2 linked regions of the Canis lupus familiaris genome follow. The protein of the gene in region 1 purifies or fractionates together with the protein of each later gene. This does not show direct contact. Links are inferred from orthologs where the notes say so. Each region holds a gene or a part of one and is shown on either strand. Other genes may lie near its edges. The genes, in order: ASXL1 and OGT.

Region 1 (2,969 bases):
ACTGAGTACCAGCCAAGGCTTATGTCGCTGGGCAGGGCTGGGTCCTCATTGGAGGCCACTAACCCACTCGTGATGCAGTTGCTGCAGGGTAACTTGCCCCTAGAGAAGGTTCTTCCTCCAGCCCAAGGCAGCAGCAAACCTGAATCCCCAGGACTCCCGCTTATGAAAGAGCAGAGCCTTGGCAGCTCCCTGGGAGCAGGAGCTTTGCAGGATTCTGCAGAAAACAGTTGTGCAGTTGGCAGGAGCAGCCCCCGTGCTATAAGAGCTTCAAAGGAGCCTCTTTTACCTGACAGCCATGAAGCAGGCACCAGTCTTGCCAGGCTAGAGCCCACCCATGCTCCTGGAGCACCCCAGAAGATTTCCAAGACAGTCCCAAGTCTAGACTCCCTATTTCCAGTGACAGAGCTGACGACTGCCTCTGGAAAAGTAGAAGAAGTGGATTCCAAAGAGCGATTCTCTACTGTTAGTTTGGAAGATCAGAAGGAAGCCGTTGATGTATCCCAGCGCAGTAATTCAAATGCTGCCCCAGGCAAAAGCCCAGGAAATCTCACTACCTCGAGAGACCCTTGTTTCTCTTCTCCAAATGCGATCTCCTTGGATCCTGATCAGACAGGTCGGGCCCTGGGTAATCAGAACAGTACTGGAGGCCAAGGGAAGAAGCTCTTTGGCCCTAGGAATGAGGCTGCAGCCCTTCAGTGCCCCAGACCCATGGAGCCAACACCACTGCCTGCTGATGCCCCTCCCAGTTTTCCCAGTAGGAAGTTGGGGCCAAGCAAAAACTCTGTGTCTGGTGGGGTACAGACCACCAGAGAAGACTGGGCTCCAAAGCCACCCCCTGCCTCTGTTGGCAGCATCAAGAGCGAGAAGACTTTTGAGGGGGGTCCTCTCAAGGCAAATGCAGAGAACAGAAATGCCACTGGTCCTGGTCCACGGGAGTTAGTGGATCACTTGCAAGGGATGCCCTTTGTCCTTGATCTGCCCTTCTGGAAATTACCCCGAGAGCCTGGGAAAGGGCCTGGTCAGCCTCTGGAGCCTTCCTCCATCCCCTCCCAACTCAATATCAAACAGGCATTTTATGGGAAGCTTTCCAAACTCCAGCTAAGTTCCACCAGCTTTAATTATGCCTCCAGCTCCCCCACCTTTCCCAAAGGCCTTGCTGGAAGTGTGGTGCAGCTGAGCCACAAAGCAAACTTTGGTGCGAGCCACAGCGCATCACTTTCCTTGCAGATGTTCACCGACAGCAGCACGGTGGAAAGCATCTCACTCCAGTGTGCGTGCAGCCTGAAAGCCATGATCATGTGTCAGGGCTGTGGTGCGTTCTGTCACGATGACTGTATTGGACCCTCAAAGCTCTGTGTATTGTGCCTTGTGGTGAGATAATAAATTATGGCCATGGGAAAAGTTGTATATTTAGTGTGTGTATTTTGATAATGATTGATCTTACACCTGTATACAGAATATCATTGATATAATAGACTCTGTTTCTCTAAGCAAGAGCACTCTTGCCCTTCCCTAAAATTTGTAGTGCTAAAGCCCCTCTGTCACTCACCAACTCTTCTGGTCTTGCTGGAAGGGTTTCCTGCCTGGCAACTCATTGGGCTGCCCAAGGCCGGCTGGCCAGCTTGAGCTCTCATGCAGACAGAGCCTGGTGTGGCGTGGGGAGCCTACCTTGACACCCAGAGGGACTTGAAACTGAAGAAAGAAGGTTGTGTTCTCCATCAGGGGAACTAACCTACCTGAACTGAGTAGACCTGCCAGTCTTCCACTGCCCCCTCCCTGCCATCTTCCCTTCTGCTGCTCCGCCTGGGGGAGTTCATGGCTGGGGAAGCCAGCACAGGGTTAAAGTAACTCCCAGCAGTGCCCACCAGGGGGCCCAAGCACCTGCTCACCTCAGGGGCACAGTTCAGTCACTTGCCATTTGACAGGAGCCAGTTTGACCTTTGGTTCTGTTGCTGAAGCAAATTTGGGACTTTCCTGTCTTGGTACCATTCACTGGCCCGCAGGAGCTTTTGAAACCTTGAATAGACTTGCTTGGACAATGGGGTTGGGCATAGGGTTGTCTTTCCTCTTAAAATGCCATCTGTAGACCTTGTAAGTCAGATGTCCAGATGTTTGGCAGGTGAATTCCTCTGCTTGACACCCTCCCTGTCACTTTGGACTCAGTGGGAGTGGGCATCTCCACGCACCTGTGTATGTGAAAGTCATTTTACATTTCAAAGCAGTGTGTGTTTCTTATTTTTATATTTTTAACTCTTTATCCTTGGATGTATAAAGTGAACTTTTTGGCTTCTGTAAGTATGCTCTATGCACCTCTAATGTTTTATCATGTATTTATATGTTGTACACAGTACTGGCCGATTCTGTAAATGGATGTATTGTACAGAGAACACGAGTGTCTCTCCCTTATTATCCGTCTCCGGCAACATCGCATTAAAGTGGTGTGCTTCTCTGCCTGAGTCAGAGCCACCACCCGACAGAAGGGTGCAGCAACTGACTTGGGATCTGCCAGCGTGGCCCAGTGCCCTGTCCTGGTCGCCCAATGGACCTGCTGTGGCCCGCAGAACCACAGCCAGCCCACCTGCGCTCTGCTGAGCAGATGTGTCTCACCTCATGTCTCTTCTCTTCTGACCTTCCACTGGCTTCTCGCTGCCATATGTGATAAATCACCGCCACCAGTGTTAAGTGCTCTGAAGTCAAGGGTGAGTGCCCTGGGCAGCCCCAAGCAGGCATTCCAGATGTGGCTCCAGGGTTACCACCTTCAATACCTGGGACCATTTGGTGTTCTTTTGATAGCAGGTTGGGGAAGAAAGCCACACCTGTTGCCTGCTTCTCTCACTACACACTCCCAGCACGTAGACATCTCCATAGTTATCTTCCCTCGCCTTGCTCCCCACCTTCTTACTCCTCCACTCGGCAGAGTTGAGAGCCCTCGTTTGACTTCCATCTCCCTGTATGAGTGCTTCTGTGTG
Region 2 (3,825 bases), on another chromosome or scaffold:
TCATATGCCCTCCTTAATGCCTATCACCCAGTTATTCTACCCCCCCACTGACCTCCCATTCTGCAACCCTGTGTTTCACAGAGTCAGGAGTCTCTCATGACTTAACCATATTTTTATACTGCATAAATGTAATTTGTCTTCTTACTATGTTTTGTACCTGTGACTCTGAATTCTATTTAATGCCATTAAAACTTATTGAATTAGTTTGAGATTATACATAGTGAGTTCTGTTTTTTATTGCATAGATTCCATGCAATGGAAAAGCAGCTGATCGCATCCATCAGGATGGTATACACATCCTTGTCAATATGAATGGTTATACCAAGGGTGCTCGAAATGAACTCTTTGCTCTCAGGCCTGCTCCTATTCAGGTAAAGGAACTAATAGTAATTGCTTACAATGTTTATTAAGCTATAAAGATGGTGATTTTTTTCCACCCTCCAGTTGCTTGGCATTTAAAACAATAGGGCAGATATGCTTGACTTAATAAAAGTATAGTTCTTGAAATGCACAGGGACAATGAATTTTATTATTTTTTATTTTTAAAGATTTTTATTTATGCATGAGCGATACATAGAGAGGGGCAGAGACATAGGCAGAGGGAGAAGCAGGCTCCCTGCGGGGAGCCTGATGCGGGACTAGATCCCAGGACCCTGGGATTGTGACCAAAGGCAGATGCTCAACCACTGAGCCACCCAGGTGTCCCAAGACAAAGAAATTTTAATGTAGAACACAGTGCCCACAGGTACATTTGTATAGAGATATGCAATTCATAGTTGAATACGAACAGTTCGGTTTTTTAAATTGGGAAAACGTTTAACACTGAGAAGGTTAGGCTGAAATACTACTTGATTCCTCCTAGCTAAAGAAGTCAACCCTCCTTATTTGTTTGTTTATTATTTTGAACTCTTTTGGTGAGGCTTTTTAGCTTTTGGCCTGATTTTTTTTTTTTTAATCTTTTAGGCAATGTGGCTGGGATACCCTGGGACCAGTGGTGCGCTTTTCATGGATTATATCATCACTGATCAGGAAACTTCACCAGCTGAAGTTGCTGAGCAGTATTCTGAGAAACTGGCTTATATGCCCCATACTTTCTTTATTGGTGATCATGCGAATATGTTCCCTCACTTGAAGGTAGAAAAACAGTGCTATGTGGACATTGCAAAGAACTGTAGTCGTTTATTTCCTTGCTGTTGTCCCTATGCATCCTAAAAGAGTCTCAAACTTTTTTTTGATTAGAAAAAAGCTGTCATCGATTTTAAGTCCAATGGCCACATTTATGATAATCGGATTGTTCTGAATGGCATTGACCTCAAAGCATTTCTTGATAGTCTGCCGGATGTGAAAATTGTCAAGGTCAGAACCTGGTCAATATCGTCATTGAAATAAAGTTATCTGCATTTGGGATCTTTTCCCTAATGATACATCTTGTCATTTTTTTCTTAAAGATGAAATGTCCTGACGGAGGAGACAATGGAGACAGCAGTAATACAGCTCTTAATATGCCCGTTATTCCTATGAATACTATTGCAGAAGCGGTTATCGAGATGATTAACAGGGGGCAAATTCAGATAACAATTAATGGATTCAGTATTAGCAATGGACTAGCAACTACCCAGGTGAGAAGAGAATAATAGAGCATAATACCACCAAGTATTCATTTATCTTATTTTTTTAAGATTTTATTTATTCATTCATGAGAGAGAGAGAGAGAGGGGGGCACAGACACAGGCAGAAGCAGGCTCCGTGCAAGGAGCCCAATGTGGGACCCAATCCTGGATATCCACGATCACACTCTGGGCTGAAGGTGGCGTTAAACCTCTGAGCTCCTGGGGCTGCCCTCATTTATCTTCTTTAAATCTAATAACTCTAGGAGATGTAAGCACCATTATCCCTGTCTTATATTGAGGAAATGAGTGGTGGAAATTGACATCTTACAAGCCTTTTATTTTTAAAGGCTTTTTATTAGTGTTTTATTTTTTATTTTACTTTATTTTTTATAAGTAATTTATTGTATTGGAAATTCCTTGGAAGTGCTCTTTTTTTTTAAAAAAAAAATTATTTATTTATTTATTCAGAGTGAGAGAGAGAGGCAGAGACACAGGCAGAGGGAGAAGCAGGCTCCATGCAGGGATCCTGACGTGGGACCCAATCTCGGGTCTCCAGGATCACACCCCGGGCTGCAGGTGGCGCTAAACCGCTGCGCCACAAGAGCTGCCCTAGCCTTTTATTTTAAAAGGCTCTTGGATTCAGTCATTAGATCACTTAATGAGGGTCTACTGTGTTAATAATATGTTACTTCCTGCCTGTAGCTTTCCTCTTATCAGCGGTGAATTATCTGTAGACCTCGTACAGTTTCTTGCTTCTGTAACTCAATTCTTTCCCTTAGTTAAATCTTACTCCCTTTGAAGACTTTCAGTTCATACAGCTCCTCCAGGATCTATTCCTGTCTCTATTAGTAATCTTGCCTTCCCTGTTCCATTGGCACCTGTCTTCTCTGCTTTTGTAATATTTGAAATGCATTTTTACATCCAGCACAGCATGTTATAATTCCCTATGTTTGTGTATTCTTCCCTGAATTGAATTACTTTAGGGCCCATACCTTAGCCACAGTAATGTTGTATGTGTTCAATAAACATGTTGCATATTGGAATAAGTGAATATGTATCTCTGTCAAGAGATTATAAGGCAAGGATCTCTCTCTTAGGAGTTAACAGTTTTAGTGGTATAACAGTTTATACCATGGATGCTTAAAATGAACTCTTTTTCTCTCAGGCAAGTTCCTGTTAAGATAAAGGAATTAATAATCATTTACAAGGTTTATTGGGCTAAAAAGACAGTGCCATATTTTTTCTTAATCTCTGATTAACTGTCATTTGAAACAATAGGCGTGTTTGACCTAAGGAAAAAAAAGTATATAGTTCTTGAAATACACAGGGACAGAGAACTTTGGGTGTAGAACATGATGCCCAAATGTATGAAACCTACCTGGAATAGTTAGATAACAATATAAGGCAGTACCTCGATGTATGGGAATTGCAAGGTAAGACTATAATTGTGTACATAGATACTTAAAAATAGTGGTGATCAATGTGAGGAGACACAGTGAAGATGGTTTGGAGGAATAATTTAACTTTCAAGGATGGATGTGATTTAGAAAAGGACATTCATTAAAAAAGTGAGCAAAAGCTTGCTGTTAGATTAATAAGATTTTGAAAAGAACTTTTTGGCTTGAGTGATAAGTTTCAAGGTAAAGTCTTCCGCTTGCCCCCATTAAGATAATACCGTAACGTTTTTCCTTTCTTGAACTTAATATGTCATGAATATTTTCTCACAGTTCAAATGACATGACTTTTAGTGGTTATACTATTTGGCATTTTAAGGATTCTTTTTTTAAGACTTATTTATTAGAGAAAGCATATGTGCGCATGTGCTCGTGTACATATATGCACAAGCAGGGTTGGAGGGTAGAGGGAGAGAGAGAATCCTAAGCACAGAGCTTGATGCCAGGTTTGATCCCACAACTCTGAGATCATGACCTGAGCTGAAGCCAGGAGCCAGACACCTAAACGACTGAGCCACCCAGGCACCCCAAGGATTCTTTATTAATTAAAAAATACCACATACTGCTGACTTTAAATATAAACATCCTATTGTTTTTTGTGTTCCAGATCAACAATAAAGCTGCCACTGGAGAGGAGGTTCCTCGTACCATTATTGTTACCACACGTTCTCAGTATGGGTTACCAGAAGATGCCATTGTGTACTGTAATTTTAATCAGTTATACAAAATTGACCCTTCTACTTTGCAGATGTGGGCAAATG

The links.
Region 2: the proteins of ASXL1 (region 1) and OGT purify together in Homo sapiens (affinity purification with mass spectrometry; 3 studies listed by BioGRID and IntAct, with this or other methods). This does not show direct contact. The link is inferred for Canis lupus familiaris from reciprocal best matches to the Homo sapiens genes ASXL1 and OGT.

Annotation. Positions count from the first base shown.
Region 1 is NC_049245.1:22,305,073-22,308,041, forward strand, and holds the end of ASXL1 (polycomb group protein ASXL1), read left to right. Parts: coding exon 1-1,380; 3' UTR 1,381-2,387; downstream 2,388-2,969.
Region 2 is NC_049260.1:56,041,345-56,045,169, forward strand, and holds part of OGT (UDP-N-acetylglucosamine--peptide N-acetylglucosaminyltransferase 110 kDa subunit), read left to right. Parts: intron 1-245; coding exon 246-371; intron 372-963; coding exon 964-1,134; intron 1,135-1,239; coding exon 1,240-1,356; intron 1,357-1,448; coding exon 1,449-1,619; intron 1,620-3,671; coding exon 3,672-3,824; intron 3,825-3,825. UniProt on the Homo sapiens protein: Catalyzes the transfer of a single N-acetylglucosamine from UDP-GlcNAc to a serine or threonine residue in cytoplasmic and nuclear proteins resulting in their modification with a beta-linked N-acetylglucosamine (O-GlcNAc).